Astyanax mexicanus: one gene and its partners. The protein of the gene in region 3 interacts with the protein of the main gene of each other region in a biochemical or structural test. Links are inferred from orthologs where the notes say so. Each region holds a gene or a part of one and is shown on either strand. Other genes may lie near its edges.

Region 1 (8,037 bases), on a different chromosome or scaffold from region 3:
TTTCTGTTCAACCGCATACACTAGGGCCCTAACATATGATATTTCATGGTATTTTTGCGAAAACTGTACTCAACAATATGACAAAACATTGAATAAAAAACAATATACATCAATTCATAAATACACTACTGCAACATAAAGAAAATTTAACTTCACTATACCATATATGGAACACCACAAAATAAAATGAATTTTATCAGATTTGTAACAGAAGAAATTATCCAAAATGTCATGATAGTAATAATGCACTCCAAATCAGAAGAGTGAATTATACTTTTGCTAAAAACAGCAAAAACAAATAGTACCCTGATGCAAAAACTAAGGGGTGGGTGATATGGCACAATATTTCAGGATATAATATCGTTCACAATATTCAAAAATGTTAGCAATATTTGTGTACAATATGATATGGCACGCCCCTAGCAGAGTTTAGTACTGAACACTTAGGTGAAGCTATTGTCCAAATATTCCTGCAAATATTCCATCTCAAACAATATGTAGGAATCCAAATGTCTGGGGCAGATTAGCTGCAATGATAACAGCCAGGCTCAGCAGGGCTAGAGCTGCAATGCTACCAAGAACAGCAGACAGAATGCACAGGTTAGTTGTGATGCTAACAGCCTAGCTCAGTAGGGTAGGCGAGGGTTAGCCGTGACACTAACAGCTGGGCATAGCAGTACTAGAACTTCAATGTTACCATAAACAGCAACCAGGGTCCACATGGTTTAAAGAAAGTTTGTAGCAATGCAGAAAGCCAAGCTCATCAAGGTTGGAGTAGCGATGCCACCAGCAATGGTAACAACTGGGTTCAGCAGAGTTAGAACAGGACAGCAGCTGCACTGAAGCAGTCAAGACAAATACAGGAATCACAACAGAGATGCTAACTTTTTCTTACCCAGAGATACTTGTTTTGGTCTGAGATGCTGGTGCTCTAGTGTATGGTGCTCTAGTGTACCATCTAGTGATAGAAAAAGTCACAGAGCTCATTTGAGGGTCAAACTAGTTTTTTTGTCTGTACCTAAAGCTATGCAAAAAAACACCCACATCCTCCCTTTGTAGTATAAACACTAATTCACAGGAAAATATGGGTTAGGGCCTTAACATGGATTTCTTCCCTGCCTATTTTCCATTCCTTAGATCAGTGCCCAGCTTTAATATTTCAAGACCTTACAAACAGAACTGAAATCAGACTTTTAACAAATCAAAGTTTAAGCTATTGTGGTCAACTCACAATATCAAAATGACCACAAGGAATGGAAAGTACACTGATGACCAACTTTCACAGCTTATAACTTCAGATATATAACTGTTCTCTGATTGTTGATGCTGCAGTTTAATGCTTTGTGTATGTTTTAAATCTACAGCCCTGAGATAAAGCATACTGTAGCAAAGTGAAGGAAAACAACCAGTGGAGATGACTGCACTCTGCGGTTCACAGAGAAGCATGCAATACTCCAGTCCAGTCTTTGAGTCAGTGTTGCCTGGGTGGCCAGGCGTGCCCCAGCCTGTCCAGACTGTATAGCCTGACAAGACATTTAACGGTTTACTATTAAACACACATTTACAAAACACACACACAGGATAATGCCACATTTATAAACCCATACTTTACAGGACGCTCATGTTTTCTTCCAAGCTGTACCTCCCTTCCTACCCAAGTACCACAAACATATACACATATATACACACACACACACTGCAGAACTAAGTCTGGAATCTTGGGCCAAACACAAATAAGAGTGTTTTCTTCAAAACAGAAAACTTCCATGCTTTGTCCTCTACAGCGTCTCTCAGTCTCGTGCACACACTCACACATACACACAACAATCATGGAATTTAAACAGAGGTCAGAAGCGAACAAAGCTCCTGTGAAGGGGTTTCACCCTATTCATATACGCACACAAAGCCCACGTCTGGTGTGTAGGCTGTGTGCGTGAGAGATGCATGAACTGACAACATTCCAAACAGGCTATGTGACGCAGGTGGAGAGATAGGAGTCAGCAAGTACAGCGGTGGGCTTGTGTTACCTTTAGGCTTGCTGGCCGTTCGGGCAGCTATGCATGTGAAGAGCTTGAGAACCCCCTTCCATGAGTAGACGGGCTGCAGCCTAACAGTGGGCGACATGGGGAGCTGAGGGACTCTTCATTGCGCTCCTTCCATAGAAACAAAACAGCCCATAACAGAGGGCCCCTTCAGTCCAGTCTCTGAAACTGCTTCCTCTCTCCCTCCCAACACAAGGCCAGCTGAAAATACTCCTCCAAATGGTTGTTAGGTGTTAGGTCCACTCATGGAGACCCCCTGAACACATGAAGGACAGAGGGTGCACAGAGGCCTGACTGACCACTTACACAGTTTCTCTCATATACTCACAGGCACACAAATAATCCAAGTGATTGTACACTGACCACTGTGCAGGAGACTTACAGGAGTCTTACAGAGGGGGTGAGAAAAAAAATCCTCTTTAGAGTGCAACCCAGGAAACACACTCACATACACACACACACACACACAAGGGGTAGAAAAAAAAAAAAAAAAGATTAATATTCAAAAAACAAAAACCCCAAAAAATAGGCACTGTAATCCATGAATGTTACACAAGTGTGTCCAGCTTCAAGTAGTAGTCAGGAAGTTCCTTTGAGATGGAGCCCAAGGAGAGAGGGAGAAAAAGGGAAAATGAGAGGAAGAGAGAAAAACAACAAGAACGCAGAGGCAAGTTTCCCCCCTTGTCTACGAATGCATTCCAGCGCCAGTGTGAGGGACCACTCCCACAGCCTGCTGAAGAATCCAGTGAGAACTCCAGAAGCGATACAGAAGAGAAGAGCAGAGCAAACTCCCTAAGGTCAAACAGAGCAAACTACTCTCAGCAAAGAATCAGAGAGAGCGAAAGAACGCAGAGTGCTGCCTGCCTGCACTTTTGCCACTGCAGCCTGTGGGCTCAGGAGTCGAATGTCAGGCTGAAGTCAGCATGCTGGCTCACTCCCCCTGTGTGCGAGTGTCTCTCACCCTCTCTCCTGAAGAGAAGGAGTAGGGCCTGCTCTTGGGTCTGCCTCGTGTCAGATTACACACAGCTCCTCCTCCTCCAACCATGCGGTTCAGACAAAGAGACATTACAATACAGCAGCACTACACCAAAACCTACAGAAGAGGGCACAGCAGGAGAGCAGTAAGGGAACGACAAGTTTCACTTACTCCTAATTTGCAAAACAAAAACTTCAAAGCGAACAGCCTTGTAACAAGAATTTGTATTGCTTTATCAAGCAGGAAATTATCTAAAAAAAAGATTTAATACATGGATGACAGTATTGGGACACATGTTCATTCATGTTTTTTTTATATTAAGTACTTTAGTACAAAAAAGAAATCCTGAGACTTTATCCTGCTTGTGTTTGAGTATTTACTGTAACTTCTACTGTCCAGGAAAGCCTTTCTACTCCAGATTCTGGAGCATCCCTGTGACAACTGGATTTAATTCAGATACAAGAGCACTGCTAATTTTAGAGGTTCAGTTTTTCAAATAAAAACCAGACTTTCTTTTTGATGGAAAATCTTAACTCAAAATGCTGTTTAGTCCAAGACTAGGGTTAATTCCTGTCTGTTAAGTAACTGTAGCAGGATGTTTGATGAACACCACATACCAAATGCACCCAAAATCACCAAAAGTACTGGATAGAATGACATAATTCCTGAAAAAACATTTTCACTGCTCCACAGCGCTACATGATTGGGGTGCTTTATAACCCTCTTGCCAATGCCTGGCTTTGAGCAAGGTACAAACAGGTCCACCTCCAAGGAGCCCTATTATATTGGCAGTAATTTCTTACAGGGACTAGACAAATTGTAAGCGCATGCAATGTGAGGAACTGAGAGATATTTGCTGATTTCATTTAAAAGGGAAGTTCACAAATATTTGGTGTATCATAGGCCAACAGAAATACCTTGCAATTACCCAGACAATGAAAACTCTTTACAGGAGAAGGCAAAAATAGTTTAAAGCTAAAAACAGATCTATGTTTGACTGGTTTCACTTCCCTCATATTCCAAACCAATAACTTTTTTTAGACAGAATGGCATAGTCTGACATACCTGTTGCTGCAACTGATGAACTAATCTTGCAATCCGTCACAGTTTTTGCTTGTAAGCTTTTATGTCATGATTTTCGTGCTTACATTAACCCCTAGCCACAGACAAACAAACCACAAACCCACAACAAACTAGACAACCATATCTATGTTTTATGTTGTCTTTTTTACACTGATCAAAAATGTTGTGTGAATGAAGTAAGTCAACCACTTCAAGTGCCTTTAAGACATCTTCAATTCACCACAAGCATGTTGTATACCAAACACTTACAGTTAGCGTAAGTACAATAAGTAAAGTGACCTTACAGCATATAGAGCACCAGCTAATACCACAGATGCCTTGTACAGTGAAGTAAAAACAGCAGCAGACATTTAAGGGCTTTGATTGGCTTATTTGACATTTGAGCCCACCTGGTACTATCCAAATACCCAACAGAAGAAACCTCAGGTCTGATATTTCATCTGCTAAAGCTTATGCTAATGCTTATCATCATTCTACTGAACTTTCTCAGTAGCTTCACATAATGTACATGTGCTCAGATCAAATTCACAAAAAGGGCAGGGGGGATAGCCTTTATGAAGACTTTCAAAAGAGAAAATTCACTCATCCTTCTCAGCCACCCAATGAGCGCAAGAACTGATACAACAATGATGTTTTGGCTCTACCTAAGACTTAATGACACAGCAAGCCTAACAAAACAGATTGCTCTCTTGAAAAGTCAATGGCCATGTGATTACCCTTTGTGTTTCAAGTTTCACCTTTACACAGGGTAGATGCAAAGGCATCGTGCCACCGCAGCTCATTCAACCAGGTCGCAAAAACAAAACCCACAATAATCTCGCTAGAAACACAACAGAGAAACACATTTAATAAATTCCTGAGAGCAAGATTACTCATCTACGAGCTGATCCAACAGCAGGAAGCTTAAATATATACAGAGTAAATACAGACCCTTTTCATTACTGAGCATGACTCATGGCTTTTACAGACTCACCTTTTCATCAATGAAACCAGAGCAGAAAACCAGGAGCACATTTTCAACAAATAAACTGAAAGAATACTGGAATAAATGTCATAAACAACTCTAAATTCCACTCAACACTTCTTCCATTCAAGTAGAGAAGAGAAACTCAGAATTCACAAAACAATATATAGTTGATATATAGTCTATAAATGTTTTTACAACTGACTACCCTTAAACTGACTTAAACTCACATTTGTAGAGCGTGATAAACTAACATTCCTCATGTAAGAAGCAGAGAAAACACTTAAAACCACTAACCGGATACACACAGTGTACATCACGAATACTCATATGGTGGGCATCACACGATCGTAGAACTAACCAAACACTGCTAATCACACAAAACAGAAAACTGTGCAGATGACATTTAACCACAACCAATACTACAGCAGCAAAGTATCACCAAACTAAAGGAATTTAGTCCAAAGTAATTGAGATTTTAGCAAAAATGTTTCTGGTTGTTTTTTCATATTAAGCTCCACAGTGCAGTTCTGCACAATATAGTTCTGCATGGGATTTCTACAGCTTTTTATAAGTAGTTGATGCCAAAATTAAACCATGTCTTTTTAAGAGGCAGTGCACAGAACATTACAGAAGCCCGGCACAATGATGCACTATTATTAAGTGTGTCTAGGTAAAATGTGAAATCCTGCATTCCCCCTCAATTGGTATCAGGATTTGACGGACTGAACTGAAAGACGATTGGTATTGCCACAAAAATACTGATTAATCAATAATCTTTCATAATTACATTTGTGCATCTTGCAGACTAAGGTTATGACTTATTTAACTATTTAACTGTGTAAGTGAATCCAGTTGTAGTCTTCCCCTTGAACTGAAAAGGCAGGGGGATGTCTCAAAGAAATGAACTGAAAGTATTATTGATTTATCAAAGCCCAGGGGCTTATTAGTGAAGTGTGGTGTTCTGGCTCAAGCAGGGAATCGAACCACAGTCTGCTGTGCTGTGGGCAGAAGTGTAAGCCCACTACCACTATCGATTAAATTGAACAAAAAAAAAAAAAAAAAGGATTTGACATACAGAGCAAGTTACATTAGCTTGAAACAACTTAACACGCTACACAATAAACAAAAAAAGGCCAAAAGGACACAGGACAGCATTTACATCTATGTGTGATTTTCCTGGCACAACATTTACATGGAGTCGCTCAAACTCTTGGCAGAAGCAGGACGCATGAGCTGGACTTCAGTCAGCAGCAGGATGCAAAACAGGTTCCCAGTGGAAAGTTCTTTCACTAATCACTACTGGAGAACACGCCTTGGTGACAGAGCAAACACTTTCACATTAAAGCCCCTAATCAATGCCATTGTTTTCAAGTGACAAAATGGTTGTGGACCAAGCCATCAAAACAGATGGCCTTTTTCTGCCCTTTTGCCACAAAGAACAAACTAACCCCTTTTACATTCACAACCCTGTACAAATACACATTTCTGACTAGCCACAACACTGTGCTAAAAAGCCTAAAATAGGGTGATCAAGCATAAATGAGCACACCTCACAATACTTAAATGACTCTTATTCAAACGTTTCACAAACTGCACCAAACCCAATTAACAGAGACTAATTTTACTCTTAGAAATGAATACTGCAGTTTGTCTGCATGCAGTTTTTTTTGCACTCAATTTAAACCTTGATGCTAAATACTGGCAAACCATAATACATGGTCCAAACCATATTTGTGTTTATATAGCTAATACAGCCATTAGAGGTGGGAAATATGGCCATAAACTAATAGATCACAATATTCATCAACAATAATAATATTCCTGAGACAAGCATTGCATTGCAAAGCATTGCATTTAATTCGAAAATATACTACTGTTACAAACCTACTAGTTTTAATTTGCTAAAATATTGCAGTTTCATAATTTTGTATAATATGATAAGTGTAAAAAATCAAAAAATAAATGTAATAACAAAAGTGCATGCATTTAAAGTGCAAACAATTAAAAGTATATAGGTTAAATAGAAAACAACCACAAAAAACACTTCTTTCAAGAAAGACACGAATATCCTGATGTGATTTAATCATTTCAAATATGTTGCTGATATTATTGTGCACTGTATGATATAGCACACCCCCAACAGCCATACAAACTCCAAAAAGCAAGATACATGTCATCATTGTGTTTATAACTTCATACATTTGATTACATCAATATGTAATCAGTATTAGGTCTAAATTGCTCATTGAGTAATCTCTACATACCAGACATAATTCCAGAGTTTAGATATGACAGGGCTGAATATCTCCCCAGCATGGTTTTGGAAGCATGGGGGACAAATGGAAGATAAACAAATATTGGATAATCAATGCACTATAACGATTCATGTTATTTTTCATGTACAGATGTAAAATAATTACACAATACAGACATCCAAATTCATTTATCATAATTTTGTAGGTACAGACATCGTTTGTGGGCATTCCTGGTAGTTTTATGTGGCTTTTATGTTGGTCATAAAGATATCAGAATTAAATTGTACGGGCTGAAATAAAAATATATATATATATTGTGATCATATACAAGAAACTTAGGCCCTACTGTTGAGCCCTATGTTACTTCCCACTTAAAAAGTGGAATAAACCTACAATAATGCGCCTTGATAACAAGCATTAACAAAGCTTACCTGTAGGTTTCTAACCACCAACATGAGCTTGTTTATTATTCTGGTTTACACAGACTTCTGCTACCATGTTACTTGCTAAACTGAAACTCTGTTACAGGAGAAAGAGGCCACAGATATTGATGTAGTAGTTGTGGTAAGGGTCCAGGTCAATACTCCTCAATCTCTTCTGAGGGTCTCATGTATCAACTATCCTGGAAACAGCCGGCAACGAGGCATCTACATCATAACCTTGCAGAATAAATTGGACAAAGAAAGGAAAAGGCTTGTTATGCATGCACTTATA
Region 2 (7,393 bases), on a different chromosome or scaffold from region 3:
ATAAAAAAAATGAATTCCATCATTTTTAAGTGCCTAATTATACCCTTCATCCACTCGCAAAAGTATCTGACATTTGAAATCAGAATAACACAATAATAATAATAATAATGCATACTGAAATTCTTAAAATCCGGCAGCACCCTTTTACAGCAAAATGATAATGTTCTATCAGGCTGACATTTCTACACCCACACTGAATCTACACAGGTTTTATATAAAGGTGACACCCTGTGGGACAGGCCAGAGCAAAAGGGGCAAATTAACCTAATTTTTGCTAAATTACTTTGGTCACTTTTTCCATTTGCTTTACCCAGAAAGGAAAATATCACTCCCAGAACATGGAGCGTAGGATCAACAATAAGACTAAATCACGCTCCATTGTTCTTAAAGTTATCTGTTTGTTTTTTTTTCAAAGCTATCAGTTATTTCTGGAAAAGCAAACGTCTGAAATTACAGTTACTCCCTGAAGGGAAAAGGCAAAAAGGGCCAAATATTATAATCTGCCATCTCGCTCATTAATATGCAAATTGAATCGTGTTTAGTCAATCATTTTACGGTGCAACTTAGGTTGTAATATGCCACATCATATTTGAAGAGATGCAGAAAACATTACATTGATGCTGTTTCAATTTGAATATTAATGAGGTTTACATCATTTACCGTTTCCACAGATTTAACAGGTCCATGCATTTATTAAAGGCTGCAGAGCCGACGTCTCCGCAAGACACACGCGCAAACAGGGCAAGCTGTTCTGGGACAGATCTAATCCTGCTTTCACGTGTTAAATCGCTTCATCTCTGAATGTGCTATTAAAATGTAAACACAGATCCTGCACACTGAAATCTGTATGACACTGTGAACCTTCTTTAATAAGATCTGGTAAGCCTAAAGCCTCAAAATGTGGGGTTTGCATTTAACAATGCACTGTGCACAATATACTTTTCTCTAAAGCATAAAAACCCACAGTGCTCACTATAATGTCTAAGGACCTGTATAGATTATATCTCACTGGTTTTATTTCCTGGATTGCAGGAAATAAAAAAATAATAAAATAAAAGTATTAAAAAATACCATCACAAAGAGTCCAACAATAAAAAGTATTATTGGGAAAATTCAGTATATTATCTATAGATCTTAGATAAAGAAACAGCCTTTTTAGGTACAGTCTAGCACATGTGCCATAGCCACCTGGCAAGTGATAAGCTTGTTTACTCAATTTCCCAGCTGTCTTCTAGAGCAACAGTTAGTCATCATTATCTATATTGTATATATGTCAAAAACAAATTTATTTCTTTATATTTTTATATTTTATAAGTAGACCACACTACACAACTTGGTGGGGAGAGTTAAGGGCTGCTCACTCAGTTTACACTCGGCTAGGTCATCAAAATCCGATTACATATTTACTCACTAAATATTAGAACATTTCACAATTAAAAGGCTTCCTGTCATTTAAATGGCACTTAAATTCTACGTTAAACAGTTTCTATAATTTTCAAGCAATAGAGAAATCTAGAAAATGACTTTTTAAGGTATGGGAATGAAAACCTAATGTGTGGGAATGAGATCCTAATGTGTGGAACGAGAAAATAAAGTCATAGCCAGGACTTAATAAGGCGTGGGAACGAGTTAATTCAATCGTAGCCATTAAGGCGTGGCCACAAGATCCTTTTGTTCCTAAACAAAGCAAGCAACTCTCAGGGGTTGTGCTCAATATAACTGCCCAAGGAAGGTAAACAGGTCTGAATACTTTCTGCGTCTGAGCCAATCAGTTTTTAGTATGAGAATTTAATGTGTCTTTTACTTAGATTTATGACATATCTCACTGCAAGAGACTCCAAAATACCACCATAATTAATTCCAAAATGAAAATGAAGAGAAACTTTTTTTTTTTTTTTTTTTTTACAAAATATTATACCTGGATTGGAGCTTTGAAGTAATTTTCAGTCTTCTTCATGGACATTAATTTAGTGAAATGAAAGCTGTATTATTTTCTGGCTAAGACTTAATTATCTCATTCCCACACCTAATAAGTTGTGGCCACACCATAGGATCTCATTCTCTTGGCTTAATAAGTCATAGCCATGCATTTTTGACACCATTATGACACCTTAGGGGTTCCGTGAAATCAACAATACTGCACTGTTCTTAAAACTGAACGTTCTACACTTGAAGTAAAGGAATCTGATGTAGTATATAAACAAATGTGTTCATTTACAATGTACTGTATACATGAGTCTATATACTGAAAACTGAGTAAAAAGTGAGGAAAAAAAATATTCCCAATTATTATTATTGTCAAGAAAGTGTTTAATCATTGGGGAAGCACCGATGTGGGAATTCTGGGCTCTATGCCGATATCCGATATCATACATGTAGATATCTGCCGATGCCAACGCCGATATACACATTTATAACTTACAGAGAGACTAAACACCCAGTATATTTTTATATCTTTAAAAGTAATAAAAAAATCAATGAATTTTAAAGTAGAGCAGCCAGTGCCGGCAAACTGTAGTAGTATGGCTAGCGTTGTTCGACACTAATCAGCCAATACTAATGTTTATATAAAAAAAAAACATTTATTATTGGCAGATACTTATATAATCTCAATATCATCATGCATCCTTATTATTTACACATGAAAAGTAGTATTGCACAATGTTCTGTGATATACTGTACACTCATCATCAAAAAAACTGTTGCAACCAGAGGGAATGAGTGGTCAGGTATGAACGTGGAAGGTAGTCAAGCAAGACAGTCATGGAGTGATTCAGAATGAAATCAACATCTCCATAAAAGTTGTCAGCAGAGGAAAGCATAAAGTGCTGTGGGATTTCATGGGAAAACACTGCACTGACTTGATAAAACACAGTGGATCAACACCAGCAGATGACATGTCTCTCCAAACCATCACTGATCATCAGTAAATTTTGCAATTAATTTGGAAATAAAGGAAGCAGAGTCTGGAGGAAGAGTGGAGAGACACAGTCCAAGCTGCTTGAGGTCTAGTGTGAAGTTTCTACAATCAGTGATGGTTTGGAGAGACATGTCATCTGCTGGTGTTGGTCCACTGTTTTACCATGAAATCCCACAGCACTTCATGCTTTCCTCTGCTGACAACTTTTATGGAGATGTGGATTTCATTTTCCAGCAGGACATGCCATACTGCCCACACTGCCAAAAGTACCAATTGGTCTTATATAATATTCTTATTTTCTTAACACTGATTTTGGGGGTTTCATTGGCTGTAGTCAACAATAAAAGTAATAAACCATTAAAATAGATCACTCTGTGTGTAATACATCTATATAATAGGAGTTTCACATTTTGAACAGAATTACTAAAAATAAATTATCTTTTCAATAATATTCTAATTTTTTGAGATATATATATTACAGCTCTGGAAAAAAATAAGAGACCACTTAAAAATAATGAGTTTCTTTGATTTTTACCAAAATTAAAACCTCTGGAATATAATCAAGAGGAAGATGGATGATCACAAGCCATCAAACCAAGCTAAACTAAGAGTGGCATATCCAAAAGCAGTGTGTAAGACTGGTGGAGGAGAACATGCTGAGATGCATGAAAACTATGATTAAAAACCAGGGTTATTCCACAAAATATTGATTTCTGAACTTTTAAAACTTCATGAATATGAACTTGTTTTCTTTACATTGTTTTAAGGTCTTAAAACTTATTTTTGGTTATTTCAGCCATTTCTCATTTTCTCCTCTAAATAAATAAATAAATGCTCTAACTGACAATTTTTTTATTTGGAATTTGGGATAAATGTTGTGCGTAGTTAATCGCATAAAACAATGATGTTCATTTCACTCAACCATATACCTATAAATAGCAAAATCTGAGAAAATGAACTGAAGTGGTCTCTTTTTTTTCTTTTTTTCCAGAGCTGTATATATTCAATCCCTGTCTTTAATAAAAATGTAATATAACAGTATGAATGGGATTTTTTACAAATGTGCTATTTTGCACTGTGTATATTTATTCTGCCACTGGTTAAATAATAAATTACTATTAAATATATTAACAAGGCAAAATATAGCTTAGCTTAGCTGTATCTGTTTCTGTGTGTTTTAAGCTAACGCTGCTGCTGCTGCTGAAGCGGTTCACTGAGCATCACAGCATCAGTGGAAACCCCACCAAAACAGCAGCCGAACACACACACACCTCCTCCCCCTGCATCAGTGAAAACACACACACGCAACACACAAGCTCTCATTCAGCAGCTTTACTGTCATTTCTAACGTGTAAAATCTCTGTACAGCGCTAACACACGGCTCTGAGCGCGCCTGTGAGGGTGTGAATACTCTGCAGTCTTACATAACTATCAACAGCGTCACTCCGCGCCAGCTGACCCGCTAAACAGTCGCTCCGCGGGGCTTCATGGCCGAACTGAACCGCACCAACACCGGACACTCCCTGCATCATTCCCCGGGTACTGGACGCGATTAAAACCGGAGCTTCAGTCACAAAATCCACATAAATAAGAGGTTAAACAGCGCGTTAGCACCATCTGTTCGCTGCACAGTTCTCCATATCCACAGTTCCGTCAACACACCGAGCGCTGAACGGCACTAGCGGAAATGTAGTGTCTCTCCACATAACTCCCTCTCTTATTTACTTTGTTTAACCTCAATAAATGCTTCTATTTAATCACAAAACATAGAAAACAATAGGTAATTTATATGCTATGACTTGGGATACCTATATTTGCGTGTAAGTCACTTGATCTGTCAGAGTAAACTATGTTCTGGACTCCATTTCCCAGACTCCCCCGCGGTCTCGTACACGCTCAGTATCATGGTTGAACAGTGTTGTGAATAAAGTCACCCTGTGCTGGAGTTGAGCTGAGCGGAATGAGACTCTGCTGCTGCTGAACGAGTCCTCATAATGATCGGTAAGTCATAACTGAAATTCAGCGTGTTTGTGTTTTGTGAGCGCGGTCGGCTGTGTGTCCCGCGCGCTGGAGTTTTATAAAGCTGTGTTTGTGTTGTGTTTGTAGCACAGCCGCTGCCCGGTCGAGTCTATAAACAAAGTGAAGTTAATTATTTTACTACAGCCAGGTAGGATTATCGTGTTCAGGTCAGGACAGGAATGCTAAAACAGCGTTTACTGATAAAACGCCCCCAAAAGTCAGTATAAACACTGTAGGTGCGCTGGGTCGTTGACATTTGGAGCCCGAGTCTCGCGAGACTTTGAGGAAAGACTTTGAACCAAAGGAGAAAAAGCTTATGCTCTTTATGCTTATTTTTACCTGCTTAATCTGTATTTCAGTACATTTTATAAAAAACAACAACTATACTTTATTTGGCTGTGCTAATTGTGTACTAGTGATGTAACTTACTAAATAAAAATATATGCTTAGTATTATTTTATGAAACTGTGCTTTTTTTATTAAAATTAATAAAATTAATAAACATTTTTTATAAAACTGCTTTTACTTAATTTGTTCTCTGAGCCTAAATTTCTGCAACAAAACTGTACTTCAGTGAAATTTGCTACTAAAACATTAATTTTGTGTTGACAAATTAAAAACTCATACTGAACTTTTATGTGATAAAATTGTCCTTAAAAAGTTTACATTGTTTTGCACTATAAGGCGCACTTAAAATTTTTCAATTTCCCCAAAATCGTCAGCGCAACTTATACTTTGTGCACCTTATGTATGAAATTTTCAGTCAGGTTGTAAGGAGCAGTAAAGCCACCCCGCTGAAGCACAGCTTTATACAGGAGTTTTAGGCTGTGACCGAAATGGCTCACTATTTACTAGTTAGGGCACTATTGAGTGTATCAGCCATTTTTCTTAAATCGTAAGGGGGAATTCGAACGTAATTTTGAGGGCACTAAAAACTCCCATAATGCATCTTGATTTATAGTAAACATCGCTTCTTACTAAGCGAGTTAAATGTGTCCAAAAATGCATTGCGGGTCTCGATACTAAGCAACAGACAGCCGAAGAAACTGAGAGGACAGCGAGCCACCACGGTTGCCAGATTGTTACAGTGGGATTCAGATAAAACAAATTCACTGGGTAAAACGTGTTTTAAATCCGCCAAAATACTGAGAAAACCACCCAAACAGCTGATGTTCTTCATATCAACAATATAACAGGGTTTATTCCAACATGATCTTAAATAAAATACCTGAGGTCTCACTTATTACAAAAAAAAAAAAACGATATTTAACTGAGTTTATCTGCATGTTTGTATTCTGTGTTTTGTGCCTTGTATCATTGGACACACGAACCAAAAAAAGAAGTATAGTACATAAAAATAAGCTTGCAAGCAATGAAAGAAGTAAATACTCACATATAATAACAAGCATAAACACAGCTTCAAATCAGCAGGACTAAAAGCTCTGTCTGTCTCTGCCAGGTTAGATTTTTAACTACAGCACTGGTGAGTTCAATTCCCAAACTCTTAGTACAGCATTTCCTCCATAGAATTTCAGACACAACTCGACCTTTGGCATGAAACCACCCAATCTGGCAACACCCGAGCCGATGTATTCTGTTAATTTCAGGTTTTCTTCATGTAATTCAATAATGTGAGGATTATCTTTTAAACAGTGTAAATATACAGGCAGAGAAATGACTTCATGATCAGCTCAGAGCTTCACTAACTTTAATTCATAGATCAGTTCAGTGTGTTTATGGAGTTTTAAACATGACTCAACCCTCTCTCACCTGTGTGTGTGTTTATGCGACCGGTGCTGGGGCATGATAATAAGTTAGTGTCCGAATTCACTCCTGTTTTACCACTACTTAGTGAACTACATAGTGTCTCCCTAAATAGCGCAACACTAATGAGGGAGTAGGGAGCCATTTCGGTCACAGCCTTAGTTTAGTTCTCTGGAGCAGTATTAGCATTAGCCGCTACACTTGCTGAGTGCTAGCTCTTTGGCCGTTCAGAGTTGAGTATTATCGGCCTGTAGCCTGCTGCTAACGCTGGATACCACTGCTGGAGCAGCATCAGCATTACCTGCGAACCACAGCTCTAGCACTTTTGCCGTTCAGATGGGAGTAAACTGGACTGTAGCCTGCACGTTAACCGTATTAAAACAAACTACGTGGAACAAACCGCTAGCTGATATCGCCCTGTCTTACTGGAGCACTCTGGGTTCCTCAGTGTAGCGCTGTCAGGTGGCATTAGCCGCTAACCGCTAATTCTCCAGCTTTTGTGGAAACCTGGAAATTTAAGCTTACTGTAAATAAACGGAACCACTTTACTCACCCAAATAAACAGTTTTTAGCAGAGAAATTTGTTTAGATTAACATGCAGCACTTGTTTGCTTGAATTTTTTTTTCCTTTTTAATTAGTTTTGTTTACTTAGCTTAGCTTTACAGGTCTCACCTCCCAGTGGGCAGACC
Region 3 (7,193 bases):
AATGCATCGATTGCATTACTGACAAAATCAGATTCTTCTGCAGAAATAAGATTATTCAGTGTATGTAAGTGCACTCAATGGAATTTACAATACAACATAGTTGCAAAACCAGATAGCTGAATAAATATCAGTTAGGTAATTTCTACATTTATGTTATACAGACAGAAGCCTAACATAAGGGCTCTGAGTGATCCACTATGATCAAGAGATCGCCAGTTCGAATCCTGTTCATGTAGCTTGCCATCGGTTACCGGAGTCCTGAGAGAGCACAATTGGCCTTGCTCTCTTTCTGGGTGGGTAGATGAAGCTCTCTCCCAACATCACTCCAAAGGCGTCTGTGAGCTGATGTATCAGAACTGAGTCGCTGCGCTTTCCTCCGAGTGCGCTGTGATGCTACTTGGCAATTCTGCATCAGCAGCAGTTTGAAAAGAGGTGGTGGCTGACTTTATATGTATCAGAGGAGGCATGTGCTAGTCTTCACCCTCCTGGTGTTGGTGCATCACTAGTGATAGGTGGAGTCCCAATGAGTGGGTTGGGTAATTGGCTGTGGAAATTGGGGAGAAAAAAGAAATAATACAGAAGCCTAAAATAAGACATATTTTAGGCTTCTGTATACTTTTTGGGTTTGAAACTAGTTTTGAATTAGTAGATCAACTTTTATTTTACATTGATTTTGCCTTATTTTGTAAAGTCACTTGTATTTTATTGGACAATGAAAATATACAGCATGTACTGCCATTGTTTTTTTGTGGAGAAAAAAGAAAGAAAAGGTTTTCTTTTAAACAAGGTGCGGTAGTGCCCTCTACTGTATTATACTAGAAATGCACAAACCGTACAGTTCAATGTATCTAAACAATTATCTAAATTATTATCCAATAAATCATCAAAATTAAGAAATTATCTAAATCAATATATCTATATCATTTTTCCTCTTCAGGTACTGATTCCATACGGATGCCCATCAGAAGTATCCACAGGAGAGGATGCCTTAAAGGAAAGGCAGTGGGAGAAATGCAGCCTACCTAAGATTGCCTCAACTATTTTGAATCAGTCCAATTCTACCAGCATTCTTACTTTAATATTGTGTTTAAATACATTGTAAACATTTAAATACATTGCAACACTTCGACAATAATTATGACTGTTTTAATACCACTTTCATTGCATGTGCTGCATGAAGTGCCTTAGTTGAAACTAATATCTGGTTTTTACAGATGGCATTTAATACCCTCTTGTTGCTGTAGAATAAAAGAAAAAAAAAAAAAACGGTGACATATTAACTAAAGCCTACTATATAACACTGACAAAACTGACAAATTATAAACATAGCATTACAGATGTCATATGCCGCCACAAACTACTTTTGTTTTGACGATATACATATTTTAATTAGATACACAATATTATCATCATTTTAAGATTATTTTTGTCCACCGGAATAAGGATAATATAATAGAATAATAACAATATTAAGATAAATTTTTGATTTTTGGTCATGTCCAAATATTGAATGATAAATCAATTATATAATAATTATCGAGACAGACCTACTGCCATGCATTGCCATGTCATATGGATTTCTTGAATAAAACAGTGGCATGCTACCATGGATTAATGAGTTAATATCATGTCACTGTTATATTACTAAACGTATTAATCTGTCTTGACAAAACGTTACAGCATATGACATATGTCCTGATATTGTTATGAATGGTCTGGCTATGTCAGTAATAGGTAGCAGGCTTTAAGTGAAGTGTTGCTAAGTAAACATAAGCTTTTTAGTGTTAGTGTGCTAATTGTCGCCATAAAGTTCTTAGACCTTTTTATTTCTTTTTTGCATTTTTTTTTCATGAGTAATTTTGGCTCTGTGTAATCCATAGACACTTTCTGTAAACTCTTTCGGTGTGAATTTTTGAAACTTTGAGTGATCATACATTTAGACCCATGTTCAAAAGCAGTGCTGTTTACTTTTTTTAAAAGATGTACATTACCTGTCATATATGCTTAGATTTTATATTTCTAATAAGAAATGGTGCTACTTACATTATTAATCACTGTAGTTCTGAGAGCCAAATATTAATTGAATAAAGACCATTGAATAAAATGAAAAAGATATAGAGATTTCCACACTCTATGGAATTCGTGGTTTATCAAATATAGTGTGTATAAAGGTTATTTACCTGTTGGGTGTTTTGCTTTAGCTAGTAAACACATAGCAACATCATAGCAACCAGCTCAGAACCACTTGGCAACACCATAGCAACCATCTGGGATACCTTAACGATGGATATTAACCATGTTTACTGAGCAACTATCCTGTGTTTTTTTCAGGAAATGCAGTTCATCATTTAGGCAAAGGTTTTTTGGACTCCAGCATTTAGCCAAAGCTTGTAATATAAAAGCTGGATAATGTCTGGTAGGCCAATTCACAGGTTACTTAGTATTTAGGATACAACTGCACTATAAATAAAAACTATTAAACAACTTTTAGAAAAAAGGGTTTAAACATTTTCTCAGTGAAGATGTATCAATATGACAAAAACTGTGTTATTGGGAACATACCAAACTAGCATGCACTTTGAACAATATCCACTAGAGTGCAGTACTGTAAAACAATATTTCTCAACCCCAGCCCTGGATGCACTCTGCACATTTTAGTGCTTTTCTGTGTACTGTTTATCCTGTATACAAACCCTCCATATATATCTTCAAATGAATTAGTATGAAGACACAATACATTGACCAGTACTACCAACTATGCCCACTGATAAAATGCAAACCTGCATCCTGGATTGCTGCAAAACTCAGATAGCAATTATCTGTGAGGTGAATATGTAAATTCTAAGAGGTTTGGTCATGTGGCCAATAAAATGCTTCCTCTGCTGCCCTACAAAAAAAGAATTCTCTCAGAGGTAGTGTACCTCTTGGTGAGAAATTGTTGACTCACTTAATTTGCCTAGAGGGGGCACATTATGGCACTGAGGGAAACAGGATGGTTGTTGAGAAATTTCCTGACATCTATAGGTGACCTATCCATCAGCCAGCCACAATCACTTTTTAGAATAGAAAAATACATTAAAACAATTAAAGGACATGTATGGAATTACATATCAACAAAAAAGTGTTTGTCCTCCACAATCCTCTGACCTAAACCTGATCATCTGAGATGGATGATTAGGGATGAGCTGGAGCTTCACAGCATGAAGGTAAAGTAGGAATTATTGTTTAGCACCTCCAGGAACTCTTTCAAGATGCTGGGAAACCTATCCCAGATGACTCTACCTTATGAAGACACTGATATTAAAATACCAAGAATATAAAGTATACAACATATTCTGCTTTGTTTAAACCTTTTTGTTGTACGATATAATTCTGTATGTGCTCCATAGCTTTAATGCCTTCACTATTAAATTTACATTGTAAAAAATCCTAAAAAAAAAAAAAGAAAAAAAATAAAAACACATTGAAAGAGAAGAGGAGTGTGTAAACTCTCATAGCTGGTACTGTACCTCAACTGTTCCTCAACTGTACTATACCTATTGTGGAGGTAACATCTAGAGGCTTTATTACCAATAGGGTTATATTAAATTGAGCCTCTTTTTAATTCTACAGTTTTTTTGTTTCCACCATAAATGCATTCTTTCACTCCTTTAATATTGTAATTACATATTATCATTACATTCATGCACATAAAGTTCTCTCTTTTTGGTGCCACTATTTCTTTTGTAATTTCTTTTTATTGTAGTTTTGTACATAATTATTTATTGCTCTATATTTACTAGCTATATGACTGTGTTTTGTATGAAGTGTATGAAGTGAAGCTTATTATTATTACCCTGTAATTGTAATTAATAGGCATTGGCCTGCTGGAGAGACTGGAAAACACATTGGACATGTTTTTCCAATTAACTTTCACAAGACACAAATTTTAAAAACAGCCAAAGCGTTAAATCACGGATTTGATGTCTGACAGCAGATGAAGAACTGTCAAGATGATAGAGGATGGTGGATGGACAGTGGAGTTTGGATCAGTGTGTGTGTGTGTGTGTGTGTGTGTGTGTGCGTGTGTGTGTACAGTATAACGGTGTCTGCAGTAGTAATGTATATCCGGTTTGGTAGGAATAAGCAGGAATAACGGAGCGCTGCTGCCTCCTCTCCTCCGTCTCACATTCCTGCTAACGCCAACGGACTGTTTCCCTAAAGGAACAGCTGGAGAACCGCGGGGGGAACACAGCACTAATATACAAGGTACTGCGGGCGAATATATGCTGTTTATATTAGTGAGGATGGAGGAGAATGGAGGGAAGGAGTCCGGGGCTGGGGCTGTATTTTTCCAGGCTTTAGCTCCTGGGTGAGAGTCGGTTCAGCTGGTCCAGCCCTCCGCTAAAGCTAACAGCTCCACCACAAACAATAGGGAGAGCCTCGCACGGCGGGGGCAGATGTTTTTTGGGCTGTTTTCTTCTTAGGATATCTTAGGACACGTTCACTGGGAAATGAGGAAAACATTTACAAAGTCTCTACTTTTTAAGCCTACTTAAATTAGGCAAGAGTCTGTTATTATCAGCCGTGTTGTTCATTTTTCCCATGGCTAGCTTTAGTTAGCTAATCTACGGTATATATAAATTGGCCATATATACTAAGCTAAGCTAAGCTAGCTAGGTTGCTACGTTGCTACTGATCCCTGGTTGCTAGGATGGGATGGCTAGCCGCTAGTTAGCTTAGCCACATTTAAAATAACAGGAGCTAGATAGTGTAGGCAACGTTATATATACATACATATAGCTAACGTAGGTTAGCAAGCTATCTAACTAACTAACCAACAGTTTCTCTGATTTTGCTATTTATAGGTATATGTTTGAGTAAAATAAACATTGTTGTTTTCTTCTATAAACTACTTACAACCTTTCTCCCAAATTCCAAATAAAAATATTGTCGTTTGGAGCATTTATTTGCAGAAAATGAGACATGGCTGAAATAAAAAAGGTGCAAAGACCTTTCAGACCTCAAACAATGCAACAAAAAGCAAGTTCATATTCATATACATAAAGTTTTAAGATTTCAGAAATCAATATTTGGTGGAACAACCCTGGTTTTTAATCACAGTTTTCATGCATATTGGCATTGTCTTCTCCACCAGTCTTTCACGCTGCTTTTGGATAACTTGGTGCCACTCCTGGTGCAAAACTTCAAGCAGTTCTGCTTGGTTTGATGGCTTGTGATCATTTATCGTCCTCTTGCTTATATTTTAGAGGTTTTCAATTTGGTAAAATTAAAGAAACTCATAATGTCTAAGTGGTCTCATATTTTTTTCCAGAGCTGTATTTATATGTGGGTCCTGTCCAGCGTTAATAATTCATAAACTGTCGTTTCCAGTTTTACAGTGCTGACCTGAAGCTAGCTAACCTAACTAGGTTAAATAACTACTGTAGATGTTGGCTTCAGTCATACATCCAGTGATTTCAGTTAGCTAGCTAACAACTAATTAGCTATCTATAATTAAGTAGTTAATTAGCCAGTTAATTAGTTATCTTAGCTAATTAGCTCAACAGATGCCAATACCATAACACTATGATATGTACACTATTCTGTAAAAACAGTGGTGCATAAAATATTTTAAACCATTTGCTGTAGTTTAGATATAGTGTTCAATATTTCTGCATATTTCGTCAGAATTCTACACAAATCCTAATGACCTATTGGAGAAAACAAAAAACGGCCTGTCATAATGTGGCCTGTGTTTTTATGGACAATGCCTTGTCGCAGAAATGATTGAGACCATTGTATATCACTTGTATAACAATAATATAAAATCACAATAATGTAATGGCACTCTTTTGAAGCATGATGAACTTTTGATTATTAATAATGTCCAGGCAACGACACTTGCTCTTTTATGGGGCTCACTAAGGAAAGAAAACCCAATATTGTTGTAATCAGTATCTGTTGCGACTCCCTTGTGCAGCAGTAACTGCAGCCAAACATTTCCGCTAACTGTTGATTAGTCCTGCATATCAGTAACCCATTTCCTCCTATGAACTTCTGGCTCCATGTCCTTCAACAACATTTCTATTGGATTAAGGTCAGGGCTTCAAATGATCCATTATTTTGTGCAACAACTTGTGTATTTAGGGTCGTTGTCTTGCTGCATGACCCACTTTCTCTTTAGGTTTAGCTCACCTGTCCTACAAACTAAATAGCCCTATATCCTAACCTGATCTCTAATCAGCTCAAAGGTGTTCATGACAAGTCAGCCTGTGCCTGTGATCTTCAGGTAATCTGTGTCTGTTGGCAGACCATGTTGTTTGCTCTTCTTGCTCTTAAAAGCTCTCAGTTCTGAGGGTGCCTTCACTTTTTTGTACTTCCCCTTTAAGGTTATAACCGTACTACATTACATTTTTTTTACATTACATTACATTACATTTGGCAGACGCTTTTGTCCAAAGCGACTTACAATATTGAAGTGCAAATAATAGAAGAGGTTAAGTACAAAAATAATAGAAGTTAAAAATAAAGCATCTATAGATAGGGCCTTAAGGAGGTCAGAGGGAAATAATGGGATAGAGGAGTAGAGAAGAGGAAGAAGGAGATGAGGTTAGAATTAGTTAGTTTGTTAGAGGTGTTAGGAGAGTAAGTGCTCTTTGAAGAGCTCTGTCTTCAGGAGTTTCTTAAAGATAGCGAGAGATTCTCCTGATCTGGTAGTGGAAGGTAGTTTGTTCCACCATTGGGGAACTCTGTATGAGAACAGTCTGGATTGCTTTGTGTGAGTGTTTGGCAAAGCGAGGCGATGTTCATTGGAGGAGCGCAGCGGCCGGGAGGTAGCGTAAGCCTTCAGGAGCGAGTGCAGGTAGGAAGGAGCCTGTACTGTCATCACCTTGTAGGCGATTGTAAGCACTTTGAATTTGATGCGAGCAGCAACCGGTAGCCAGTGGAGCTCATTGAGCAGCGGAGTGACATGTGCCCGTTTTGGTTGGTTGAAGACCAAACGTGCTGCTGCATTCTGAATCATCTGTAGTGGTTTTACTACACAGGCTGGGAGGCCAGTTAGTACGGCATTGCAGTAGTCGAGGCGTGAGATTACCACAGCTTGTACCAGGAGTTGGGTGGCCTGTTGCGTCAGAAACGGTCGAATTTTTCCGATGTTGTAAAGTGCAAAGCGGCAGGATCGAGCAACTGAGGCCACATGGTGCGTGAAG

What was found.
Region 1: the proteins of synphilin-1 (region 3) and siah1 form a complex in vitro, tested with the Homo sapiens proteins (2 studies listed by BioGRID, with this or other methods). The link is inferred for Astyanax mexicanus from reciprocal best matches to the Homo sapiens genes SNCAIP and SIAH1.
Region 2: of the proteins of synphilin-1 (region 3) and prkn, one has a biochemical effect on the other in vitro, tested with the Homo sapiens proteins (3 studies listed by BioGRID). The link is inferred for Astyanax mexicanus from reciprocal best matches to the Homo sapiens genes SNCAIP and PRKN.

What each region holds. Positions count from the first base shown.
Region 1 is NC_064416.1:23,271,608-23,279,644, reverse strand, and holds the start of siah1 (E3 ubiquitin-protein ligase Siah1), read right to left. Parts: upstream 3,019-8,037; 5' UTR 2,125-3,018; coding exon 2,028-2,124; intron 959-2,027; coding exon 896-958; intron 1-895. UniProt on the Homo sapiens protein: E3 ubiquitin-protein ligase that mediates ubiquitination and subsequent proteasomal degradation of target proteins.
Region 2 is NC_064414.1:19,273,378-19,280,770, forward strand, and holds the start of prkn (E3 ubiquitin-protein ligase parkin), read left to right. Parts: upstream 1-4,349; 5' UTR 4,350-4,914; coding exon 4,915-4,921; intron 4,922-7,393. UniProt on the Homo sapiens protein: Functions within a multiprotein E3 ubiquitin ligase complex, catalyzing the covalent attachment of ubiquitin moieties onto substrate proteins. Substrates include SYT11 and VDAC1.
Region 3 is NC_064419.1:36,793,565-36,800,757, reverse strand, and holds the start of synphilin-1, read left to right. Parts: upstream 1-4,089; 5' UTR 4,090-4,248; intron 4,249-7,193. Other genes in the region: protein-lysine 6-oxidase, read left to right, coding at 938-944. UniProt on the Homo sapiens protein: Isoform 2 inhibits the ubiquitin ligase activity of SIAH1 and inhibits proteasomal degradation of target proteins. Isoform 2 inhibits autoubiquitination and proteasomal degradation of SIAH1, and thereby increases cellular levels of SIAH.